Linked DNA regions of Oryzias latipes. The main gene of each other region encodes a partner of the protein of the gene in region 3 in a complex. Links are inferred from orthologs where the notes say so. Each region holds a gene or a part of one and is shown on either strand. Other genes may lie near its edges. The genes, in order: nup54, nup93 and nup58.

Evidence for each region.
Region 1: the proteins of nup58 (region 3) and nup54 are in contact, whole or in part, in a crystal structure (PDB 4JO7), measured with the Homo sapiens proteins. The link is inferred for Oryzias latipes from reciprocal best matches to the Homo sapiens genes NUP58 and NUP54. Residues at the interface, in NP_054808.1 of Homo sapiens: Pro342, Tyr345, Phe346, Leu349, Val350, Phe353, Gln356, Leu357, Tyr360, Gln363, Ile364, Leu367, Leu371, Gln374, Ser378, Ile392, Tyr393, Phe396, Leu399, Ala400, Leu403, Ile406, His407, Val410, Lys414, Tyr417, Tyr420, Arg421; in NP_059122.2 of Homo sapiens: Tyr453, Leu459, Glu462, His466, Leu467, Gln469, Gln470, Gln471, Gly473, Leu474, His476, Leu477, Ile478, Ile480, Ile481, Asp484, Leu485, Ile488, Lys489, Leu490, Val491.
Region 2: nup58 (region 3) and nup93 share a complex: the UniProt entries of both Homo sapiens proteins name them as parts of the p62 complex. The link is inferred for Oryzias latipes from reciprocal best matches to the Homo sapiens genes NUP58 and NUP93.

Annotation. Positions count from the first base shown.
Region 1 is NC_019870.2:10,484,163-10,488,464, forward strand, and holds the start of nup54 (nucleoporin p54), read right to left. Parts: upstream 2,803-4,302; 5' UTR 2,659-2,802; coding exon 2,616-2,658; intron 2,325-2,615; coding exon 2,220-2,324; intron 1,444-2,219; coding exon 1,363-1,443; intron 1,204-1,362; coding exon 1,168-1,203; intron 684-1,167; coding exon 597-683; intron 136-596; coding exon 1-135. UniProt on the Homo sapiens protein: Component of the nuclear pore complex, a complex required for the trafficking across the nuclear membrane.
Region 2 is NC_019864.2:28,042,495-28,046,015, reverse strand, and holds part of nup93 (nuclear pore complex protein Nup93), read right to left. Parts: intron 3,496-3,521; coding exon 3,403-3,495; intron 3,149-3,402; coding exon 3,009-3,148; intron 2,633-3,008; coding exon 2,500-2,632; intron 1,351-2,499; coding exon 1,193-1,350; intron 1,105-1,192; coding exon 939-1,104; intron 356-938; coding exon 262-355; intron 1-261. UniProt on the Homo sapiens protein: Plays a role in the nuclear pore complex (NPC) assembly and/or maintenance. May anchor nucleoporins, but not NUP153 and TPR, to the NPC. During renal development, regulates podocyte migration and proliferation through SMAD4 signaling.
Region 3 is NC_019878.2:13,571,131-13,575,215, forward strand, and holds the start of nup58 (nucleoporin p58/p45), read right to left. Parts: upstream 2,817-4,085; 5' UTR 2,470-2,816; coding exon 2,387-2,469; intron 1,575-2,386; coding exon 1,414-1,574; intron 1,290-1,413; coding exon 1,257-1,289; intron 1,177-1,256; coding exon 904-1,176; intron 808-903; coding exon 639-807; intron 476-638; coding exon 410-475; intron 323-409; coding exon 148-322; intron 1-147. Other genes in the region: mtmr6 (myotubularin-related protein 6), read left to right, coding at 3,543-3,566. UniProt on the Homo sapiens protein: Component of the nuclear pore complex, a complex required for the trafficking across the nuclear membrane.

The DNA.
Region 1 (4,302 bases), on a different chromosome or scaffold from region 3:
TATTAAAACCTCCAAATCCGCCCAGGCCAGCTGTGCCTAACCCAGTTCCAAACCCCGATGTTCCGGTTGCGGTTCCAGCTCCAAGCCCGGTTGGGAACCCAAACCCTTTGTTCTGTGTGTTCCCAAACAAGCTTCCTACAACACAACAGTTTGGCCACACAAGACGGTTGAAAGCATGCAGCGTTTAGGTTTTTCCATTAAACGTTGTGCAGAAGAAGTGCAGCAGAAAAGAACGGTGATTTCTTTAGAGGGAGAGTGACCCCTGGTGGCAAGAAGGTCCAACATGAAAACGGATTTAAAAACAACCCCTACCCCTACATAAAATTGTAAACAATCTTCCAATTTGATTTCATTTTTGATTCAAGCAAATATGATAAAACATTGATTTATTTACTACATTTCCATCGCTAAAGCATTTATATTTTGTAATAAAAAGCATTTGACATAACTAGTAGTTTAAACTAAACAAAGGTGGAACATCTATGCAGAATTTAGTAACTAAAATGGCCATTTTTTTTCTCCAAAGGGTGACTGATTCCTGCTCATCTTTAGTGTGACGAGCACAGTTGATCTCTTTCTTGGAACTTGGTGCTGACCTGTTGTGTTGGAGGGGTTGACAAAACTAAAAGAGGATCCCGGTGCAGCAGCAGTTGTAGTTGTTGCCCCAAAGCCTCCAAAAGCGCCTGGGAGGTGAAGAAAATACAAATAAATGTAATACAAGGAGGTGACCCTTAAGAAGAAGCAAAAATGAAAGAATAGAACCATAAATGAACACAAAAACAACATCACAATTTTTAAAGAAAACAAATCGAGACATCAATACAGCATTGCTCTGGAAACTAACAGTCAAATGGAAACCATATGGGATGAACAGCTTATAATTGCACAAATGTTATGCAAGTGGAACTACAGTAAACCAAGTGAACAGCACACAATCAAGCATCAAGTGAAATGTGGGGGGAAAGTGGACAAATGAATGAAGATGTGTTTTTTTCTTTTAACAGACACACAATGAACTGAATCACAAAAGTCATCTACCTGTGCTAGCCAGGCTATTACCAAAATTGAAAACAGAGCCAGTGGTGGTTGCTGTACCAAAGCACCCCACATTAAAGCTCACTGCAGCTGGGTTGGCATTTAAACCAAACCCCCCAAAACTAAACCCACCAGCCGTACTGCCTCCGGCTCCGAGCCCCCCAAATCCTGCAGCCGGGGAAGGCAGGCAGCAAGAAACAGAGAGTGACACGGAGGGGTTACAAGAAATTAAGCCAAGCCTGGCATACATTTAGAAGAAGAGGAGGAATTTGTAATAAAAATAAGCTTGAGAAGCAACACACGAGCTCTTTCTGTGCCGCATCTTACCAGTGTTGGTGGAGCCAAAGCCGAATCCTGTGGCTGGTGCGGTGGTGGTGGTGGCTGCCCCAAAACCAGGAGCTGTAAGAGCTATGAAACAAATCAAGCAGCTCATCAAAGATATGAAACCTGCCCTCAAAATAAATAAGATATAAAAAACAGTGTAAAATTAAACAATCAAATGAATGATCAAATATAGTTTACTAGCCCTATTTAGGGCAACTAACCCACAAGCATGTTTATTATTTGATAAAATATTCATCTGGATCTATTTCATAACTTGTTTCATAAATTGGAAACAGCAAGATTATAAAAATGTAGGGTTTTGTTTGGCCTCAGTTTTCTTTTCTTTTCTTTAAATTGTACATACTGTAATTTTATTCCACTGCACTGAGATTTTGTTATTTTGGTTTTCAATCTACTACAAATAAGTACATCATCATGATCAGAGTTCCTTCTGGTTTGTTTTAAGATATTTTAGACCTGAATTTAGTCCATCTTTCAGTGGATTAAACAGTCATTCTCTCCAATGGATCAAGCAAGTAGAGAATTCAGTTTCCCACAACCACCAGGCTAAAAGGAATTTCAGTTCAAGCCCCACTGATCACCTGTTGATCTATTGTAAACGCGTTACCAAGTAGTCTTTTAATTATGATTATGCTGTTTAATAATAAAATATTCATCTGTTATAAAAATTTAAGACTTAAGACTCTGCAGGTTAACAACAGAGCAGTTATGAAAAATAAATCTAACTGGTCATGTGCTTTTTTTCTTCGTTAGCAAATAAAAGGAGCAGGAATGGGTTAGAAAGCCCCCGAATATTACATTTTCCACAGCATCTAAATGAATTGAAGACGCAGACTTACTGCCAAACCCGGACGAGGCGGTGGTCGTGATGGCTGTCGGGTTAAACCCAAATGTGGACGCTGTTGTCTTGGCACCAAAGGAACCAAATGAAAACCCGGACGTACCTTTGCAATGACACATGATACAGAGCGCTGTTAACGGCAGCTAAGTACACATAGCTCAACAAAACCGTGCTATTTTAAGTATTGTCAAAAGCTTTTAATTGCGTAAAAAAATAAAAGCCAGTTTTCGCAATTGACCGTAACTGTAGCTTAACGGCAGTTGCTGTGATCCGCTAGCACAGCATATATATAACTGACATAAACACACAAAAAACATGACAGCATAGCTTCGATAAATATATATTTACTCCTAACTAAATAAATATGATAAAACTTCACAAACAACAGACATACTTGGTGCTGTGTTGCTCGTGGCACCGCCAAAACTGAACGCCATGTTGACTGCTTTGGGAGCGTTCTTCTTCTTCTTCTTCAGAAATAACAGTGAGCGAGTAGGATCCAAAGGAGCTCAGTCCTACCACCTGGTGACCGGGAGCCGCAACGGCTTGCGAGCGTCAAAAAAGCTCCGTACCGCCACCTGCTGACCATGACCCGCAACGGCAAGAAGCTCCAAAGGAGCTCAGTACTGCTCAGGGTTAGGCCACAAAACTAAATTAATCAATAACAAAAAACAAATTGATTGAAAACAATTCTCAACAAGTGCAGACAAATGTAATGGAGCTTGTGAAATGCACATCTGACAGTATATATTACAATAAAAACTATTTTAACAGGGAATATTTGTAAAATTTGTAACTGGATCCCTTCCAAAGGAAGAATAGATTTCAATATACTAGAATATAGACCTTATGTCTAATACAGGCTCATAGTTTTCCTGATGTTTATTTGGAAAAACACAGAATACACAACATTTCCTCTTCCCTCCTAATTCACTATAAAACATGTCTTTTTCTAATTATATTTAAAATGACAAATAAAAAATAAATTCATTATTATGAAAATGGCAGGGTTGAAAAAATATTTACTAAATATGACCAAAACAAAAAGACAAAAAACAAGTACACATCCACTTAAGCTACTTTTTATTTCTGTGTGCAGATCAAAAGTAACATTCAAAAACAGGTGAACAGGCAGGATACTCAATGGTTACATTTGCAGCAATAATTTCCAAGATGAAAATGTTGATTGAAATGTGGCATTACAAAGAAATCCAGTCGTAAGCATGTGAGGATGATCTGTTTTGGTTTTATCAATGTAACAAAATAATTTATTCCCTTCAAAAACAACTACAGACATTGCATAACACTGTCTTGTAACATATGAGACGGAAGCTACCAATTTATTCGCTTGTTCTCGTTAATCGAAATCAACTACATTATAAAAACGTGTGGATTTGTTTAGCCCTCAGTTTAATTATTGTACATAATGAATTTTAGTTTGCATGAAAAGATAATAACACAAAAAAACTCAAAAGGAGAAAAATCTCAACAGCCTGATATATACACATGGATTATTACATAGTATGAAAGAATCTAAATCACAGATGAAGTGCTAAAACCAGTATTGGAGCCTGCACAGAATAAACTGAGCAGCTTTTTATTTGAGGAATACAAGATATGGCACATAGAGACACTTTGACCATGGAGGCTATACAAAAAAAAAATACTTCGGTCACATGTTCTTTTTTTCTTGGCATCTGGACGGAAGCTAAAAAGTTTCATCAGAAAAATCAAGTAAAGCAGTAACACTGGTTCATGTTTATTAAAAAAAAAACATGTTCTGCATTATTTATATCAGTTAGTGGAAGCATGTTAAGGACACACATCATGTCTTATTTGGAGCTTTAGATAAACTACACTAAGCGTTAGACTCAAACTTCACTTTAGCATCTCTACATTAACATTTACAGAAATACGCCAAACGTATTTTTTCTTTAGAAAAAAATAGGACAGTATCTAAATATACATAGTTTTGTTTGACATTCATCCTCATCATGCATAGCTTGCACACTCAAATGAATGCCAAGACTGCTTCTAGATTTTAGAGATCACAAATGAATGAATCACCCAACAAAATTCAT
Region 2 (3,521 bases), on a different chromosome or scaffold from region 3:
TTCTAACAGTTAGCATTCTTCGCTTAATTTTCCCTTTTTCAATGATTGTGTGAAACTCCTGTGTTTCTAGATCATTTTACAACTTTCTGGTGATTTCTTTCGAGTGTTTTTTTCCTCTTTTTAGGTTCCCTCCTTTTGCAGTGCATGCATGTACTCATACATGCATTTGTGCATCATCTCCTTCTTCCAAGAAAACAAAAAACTTTCACGTTAGTAAATGAAATAACCTAAGAGATTATGTGTGCGGCAGTTGTTGTGTACCATAATCTTCCAGGAGCTGCTTCTGTAACTGTGGCAGGGTGAGTCGGTCCTGAGGAGAGCTGCTGCCGTCGTCATCGAAGCACACCTGGTTCAACTGCACACATTCACATTCATTATTTAATCATTAATTATAACACGTTCATTAAGCAGCTCGACCATTCGTTTGCGTCAGCTGGGGTCCGTTCCTCAGACAGTTTCATTGTGAAAAGCAGAGGATAAATGTATCCTCCTTAGATTAATGCCAAACATGTTCAAAAGAATAATTTTGGTTAAAAATCTACAGTTACTTCAGGCTTTTAATCCAGATTTTAAGTACATTTGACTTGTTTTCTAGCACTTGTGTTATAAAACAAAGTTGGAAACCTACAAGGCAGAATGGCTTGATCTAAAATCATCCATTACTCGAAAATAATGCAGATTTTTACACAGAAAATTCAAAACTTGATCGTCACATTCACAAACTGATTTTCCTATTTAGAGATCTCTTGTATTTTCCAGGTAAAAAATGTGTTAAAATGTTAAAACTTTATTGATCTAGGATCCACTTTCGCTTACTTTTAGGAAAACAGCTTTATTGAAACAAATTCTGTGCAAAATTGATGGTGAGTTTAAACTGATTGCAGCAGTGAAATACCAAATGACCCAGAAAGGAATCAAGTAAATGAGGTGACCCGTACCTTCAGCCACAGATAATCTTCTGTCTTGTCCGCCACCTCTCCGTGGTTATCGTTGATGTCGCATTTCCCGATCAAGCAGTAGACGGCCCTCTTGTAGGGGTCGGCGCTGTTCCTCAGCACCCGGCGGTAGTGAAGACGGAGCTTGTTCTCCGAGGTCGGGCAAAGGCTAAAGACAGATCAAGTGTCAGACGACTGAAGACAAAAGATGCAGGGAACGATCTCATGCAAGCAGGCAATTGACGAAAGAAACGTACCGCCTGTCCGGGCTGTTCATGTACTCCTGAAACCAGGTCTTGAAGTCTCCCAGCTGATGTTGCACTCTGTTCACCACCTGCATGGCTGCGTTCAGATCGCCGCAGCGCAGACAGTAGTAGATCACCGCCCACACAGGGTGACCCTCCACTTCACCGTCCTGATGCACCAGAATAGAACCATTAAAAGGAAACCTAGCATGAAGAATGACCTGCTATTGACTTCAGGCAGTGAGGCTACGGGGCCACGATTATGGGGTCAGATCAGCATCAGCTTAAAGACATTTGAAGCAGTATAAAACTTGAAAGTACACATTGTCAACTTGAAAGAAAAAAAGTTTTTTTAAATGACTAAAAACTTGAATTAAAAAAGTATAAACCTAAAACTGTTTTCAGGTGAAAAAGAAAGTATTTGCAACAGCTGTTGTTTAGTGTCTATAATTTTGGGGTGTTTTTTGCCAGTGTTTAGCATTTCTCTCCCTCTTTGCTTAAAACCTGTGAACTGAGGTCAATCGTGTCCCGATAGCCAATGGGCTGAAAGCTCCACAAAAATGAGTGGAAACTCCAAAAAGTCTGATTTGAAACTGTAAATTGAGAAATGAAAAAAAAGGGAGAAAAAAATGAAAATACAAAACAGCTGCTGCAATAAATAAACATTTTTTCCTTTAAAAGTTGTAGGTATTTAGCATTTTATTCAAGTTTTCAGTATTATATAAATAAATTTCAAACATGCCAACTCCCCCCTGTATTTTCAGTATTTTTGTCAAATTTAAAATGTGTTTTTTCGCAAAGTGACTACTGATTAACGGAAGGTCAATTTAAGGAAACGTAAAATCAAAATTAGGAAACAAAGAAACAAAAGGATGAAGCAAACAGCCGCATGTCTTTTGACAAACTGTGCATGAAAAGTCCCTATTTTCAAGCCATTATTTCTGTTTGTTTGAATTTTCCCGCACTGAAGAGCTTGAGCTATTTAGCTAGGAGGTTAAGTGATTTACAACCGTTTACCAACTTTCGACACAGTGCGTCCTGGAAATGCTTGCGTTTAAGACAAAGAAAAAATGTAAATCCCATTTGACAGAAATTTAAACAATTTATTGCTTTATAAGTCCTTATTTAATTTAAATTAAATTCAACACCTTTAAAGGCTTTTTAAGGATCTCCGATTGAAGTGTAAAACAGTTCCAATCCTACTTTTTGTTTTCTTTTCTGGTTTTTCGTTCACTTCATCAAGCTGACCCTGGCTTGACCCCATACACGTTTCCTCACATTAACTCTTCATTCTAACTGATATACTGTAGGACTGATACCTGCATGCCAGGTAAGGGTCCGGGCAGTTTGATGTTCAGAAAACTGCGGACCAATTGGTACGTTCCAGGCACCCCTCCCAGTTGGGCCTGATGGAGGTTCCCGAAGACGGTCACCATGGTGTAGTTCTTGTAGCTGCAAAGAGGATGAAGACGTGATCGCATGTGGAACTTCTGACACTGGCTGGTTTGTTCTTTTTTACCATAAAAGTAGAACATTTAGATAAATTACTAAACTAAAATAGCTGACCCTCAGATCAATTCATCTTTTCTAATAAAATATTTTTCTGGGGTTACCTCTTTATCCTCAAATAAAAAACATCATAACCCTAAAAACTGGGAAAGTCTTGTTTTTGATGATTTTTTTTAAAAAGTTGAGCTTTTTCTGATCTATTCTGCATTAAAACGTCCGCATGACTTCCTGTTTGGCATTTCTCTTTCTAATCACACAATCAAATGACGTCAGTGTCGTCGTGGAAGTAATTGTTGTCCAATATAAGAAATGCACACACCTGTTCTCCAAGACGTTGAGTGCTTGACGAACAAAAGCCATCTGCATTTCAACAGAAGTTCGACTCTTCAGGGTGTCTTTAGCTGGAACCAGCAGAACGTCCGTCATCTGCTTCACCATCAGCCACATATCTGAAACGTTCTGGAGAACACAAATTATGTAATTTATTTCTTCAAGGTGGGCTATATAGACAATTTACTATTATTTTCTTTTTATAGATGGCTTCCCATCATTTTATATCACTTCTCCAGGTGCTGAACTGATAATGGTTTCTAATTATTTATAAAAAGGTAGAACAAATTTTCCCGACTTGTTATTATTATTATTTTTAACTAAAATGCACCTTCATATTTACTCCACTCAAAGATTTGGCAACAAAAGGCTACTGTTCTTACCTTATCATCAAGGCTTTCTGCCACCGATGCACATAAATCTCCCAGATTCGGGTGAATGTGTCCGTTCACTATCTTCTCGTTGAAAATGTAGATCTTTAGGTTGGAAAACGAAGAGACAA
Region 3 (4,085 bases):
TAAAGAAATATTCTACCAAATGTAATTTTTCTTTTATGTTTTCCACCTTGAATCATTAGACGTGGACTTATTTTACAAAGAACCCACACTTTTGCGTTTCTACAGAAACTTGAACTACATGTGTTCAGACATTTGTGCTGGTTTTACCTGAGCCGTTTCCTGTTTTAACTTGTCAATGGCCAGAGCTTGGCGTTGCAGACCGCTTGCATTCACAGAGAGAAGCTGTTTGAGGTTCTTGATGTCATCTTGGACTTTAGATATTGCTTTTGAGGACATCCTGCTGATCTCTTCCTGCACCTGTTTCTGTTCTTTGACAAATTTTCTGTAAAAGAAAGTATCGAGGTGATCCAAGGCCCAGAGTCACATCCAGAAGTTAATGCATGATGCCGCAAAGTGTGAAAACACTTACTGAAAGTTTTCAACATCTTGACAAATAACTGGGGGCAGATTCTCATCTTTTAAAACTTTACTGTCCCTGAGGGGAAAAAAAAGAGAATACTTTGTGTTTTAGAAGTTCAAAGCAAGATAAACTTTTTCTTATATTTTAAAAAAATATTTTACAATAAAGTAGAATTGGGTCAGTATAGACATTTCAGTTTCACAAATAAAAATGTACATTAAAGTACAAAACAACATACTGCTCACTGGATCCAGATAACGTGTCACTCTTATTCTCTGAGGAAGTGCTGAAATCAACTCCACCAAGGCCAATACTTGGAGCTGGGGCAGTTGATGCTGCAGTTGAGGTACCAAGCAAAGAACCTAATGTTAGCCCACCACCTGCTCCAAGAGTGGTTTGCCCCAAACCTGGAACACAAAGATACAAGTTAGATAAAAGTAAACAGATAAAATTAAATGGTTATGTGGACATAACCACAAGTCTAGTCAAGATTTTTGTCTCACCTGTAGACACAGAACTGCTGAACAAACTCCCTCCAAGTGATGGCACTGTTGAGGCTGCTGTGGAAGCTGTTGAGCCACCAAGACCAAGGGAGAAGGTTGTGGCTGCCGGCTGCTGCGGAGCGGTGGAGGTTAGGATAGAGCCGAACGATAAACCTGTTCCAACAGTTGAGGAGGCGGTACTGGTGGTGAGTGAGAATGGTGATGCTGAGGCAGTAGGCTTGCTAAAGGCTAAACTGAAACCAGTAGTGGCAGCTGTAGAAGCTGGTGCTCCACCTGCGACAAGGCACACATAACATCAATCAAAAATTTAAATCTGTGATTTAAAAAAGAATGAGATGGAAAAACTAGCACACCTAATGTAAGGCCTGTCGCGGGTGCAGCAGCACCTGCAGGAAAAAAAAAAAGACAACAGATTGGTCAATACATGAGTGGTAATCAATTCTTTCAAAAGACATTTCTATGTTAATCTCAACTTTGTTCAAACATATACATATATATATATATATTTACTTGAGGTAGGTGTATTAAAAGAAAATCCTCCGGTTGGTTTTTGGCCAAAAGGATTTCCTCCTAAACCAAGGGATGCTGTAGTGGTGGTGGAAGCAGGGGTTGCAGCTGCCGTTCCAAGAACAGTCCCAAAAGAAAAGCCGCTAGTACTAGCGGCAGGTGCACTACAGACAGAAGTAATCACAGAGTCTGATGTCAAACACACTGAAAGAAACCAGCAAGAAAAACAAATATCGAATATAATAACGTACATAAACAGATTTACCTAAAACACATCGAAATGAAAGAAGATGAATAGTTCAAGAAAGAAAAGAAAAAAAAGGGGGGGGGGGTGTCAAACATCTACCCACTTCAAAAATCTACACAAAAGCCTAAACCATAATACGTGCAGCCAAGAGGCACACAGCTGCATTTCCCGCACGTTTTGAATGTGCGTCCAAGGCTGAATTTTGTTGTTGGCCGCACTTATTTAAAGTTAAAGTCCCATTAGTTGTCACCCTTCTGTGTGAAATGTGCTCTCCTCATTTGATCCATCCCCATGGAGTGCAGTGAGTGAGCAACAGAAAACGGCCGCAATCAGGAAGCATTTGGCGGTTTACTAACTGTAACCGTTATCCTAAACCATTACCTTCTTCTGGGGGTCCGTGGGGTCAAGAATATAAAGTTCAGCACTGGCTGTTTTAAAAATGATGTGTGAATAGACACTTTGTTGTTATTACTTTTCGGATGATCTCTTAGCTACAAACATAGCTAAAGATTGTAAGTAATGTTGGACAGGTAACATCAAAATCATCCTACATTTTCGCTAACATCTTAGTTTAGACGCTACAAATTCCCCTATAATAGTTCCTCCTGTACCCGGCAAAATCGCCGCACAGAGGCAGTAACTACGAGGGAAGCACGTTTTCGTTAGCTGACAGGACAAGGCTATGCTAGCGTTAGCTACCTCGAGTCGAGTATATTTAATTGTTGTTACCTGGTTGCCGCTCCGAATGAAAATCCTCCACCTGTGTTGTTGGTCGCGCCAAGAGCCCCCGAACCGAAGTTAAAACCAGACATTTTAACCTAAGTCGTCCACATTTAACACCAAAAGGCTACGTGGGCTTCATACACTTAGGTAAACCTTAGCCGAACAGCATCACACGATTGTTAGCTTGTAACGACGTCCGAAACTCAAACCCACACAAGCTTGCTTGTTTTTGAAACGTACAAGGGAAAAGCGACTAAATGTCTGACTTCTAACACTGAAAAGTTTGACGTTCACGTTTTTTGACTAACTGTATAAAATAAAGGCAATTATTAAAAACAAGTTTGACAAGAAGCTATATAGCACGGCATCACTTTTCCTATTACCCGCCTGGTGTTTCTCTTGCCCTACACTGATGAATTATGGGTAATATTCTCAGAACTACATTTCCTATCTTTCCCTTGAATTTTTTTCAACGTCTGTGACTTACGTTTAACGAGAAAAGAAATGTAAGTTCCGGTAATTCTTTCAACGTAAAATATAATTTAATCTGCTGGGGTTTTTTTTAATCGAGATTTTGTGTGACTAGCTGTGAAATGGCTCTTTGTTTCCTCACATTTCTTAATACGCTTAAGTATTTTAAGTTGAAAACAACCTTTTTGTTTTATATATATTATAAAAACGCTTTAAAAAATTTGCTCATTTGCGTCAGTTTTGTTTGCTCCATGTGCATGTGATGTCACCTTTAAACTTCTCTAAAATATGATACTTTGGCATGACCATCCATTGTTTGACTTGAATTCTTAACATTTAAAGTTAATGATCAGCTTGATGCATACCACTGAAAATATATGGAACATATATTCAATTATTCAGGGTGCATTTCCTTTTTAAATCGAGTTTGAAAATAAGGCAACGATGCGTTACCTATCGACTTTTATTTTGAAAAGTGAAGAAACCTGTTCTGGTATTCATGCGTGACTTTACGCGGATGGAGGGATGAAGGAATGAAAAAAAAAACACTTATCGTATACCGCAAAGAACAAGAACAGTGAGATAGTACAGCAGTTTAATGTATTAAGCTATAAATGACACCGTTGTTTCTGTTAGGCCGCTTTTGAACCTTTTTAATAAAAGGCTGACACCCGACTGGCGACTCGGAGAAATGGAACATATCCGAACGCCGAAGGTAGCTGACATTTTCTTAACAGTTGCATATGTCGGGGGGATGCAGTCAGCAACTTGGCCTTGTTGAACTGTGAACATTTAGTTGTGTATTGTTATTGCATTTCGCCGTTTCACTAAAGTGAACGAAATGCACGCTTTGCAATCTGCTAGCATAAAGGCTAGCAGGTGTCATGATAGCCCCAAGGAGGTGACGTGACGATCGAGCATCAGTATGTTTGTGTTTATTTTTCTTTTTGCCCGTTCAGTTTATATTCCTATGTGTTCTCTAATGATTTTGAATGAAAGATTTTGATCGCTTTACTCGATCACTAACGTTGGAGAAGCAGCATAAGTGAAATTGTGGATTCATAAAAGTCATCAAATCATTTATGATTTAATTATAGGCGTTGAGAACAATGACCCTTAGAGCTAAACTTATTCATTTAAATGCTGCCAGCAAGTCATAATCTGCTGATTTGGTGATAGTAGTAAAGGAAAAACCAGCCCTAGCAGCCTTTAGTCTTCAACTCAGTTTTTAAAA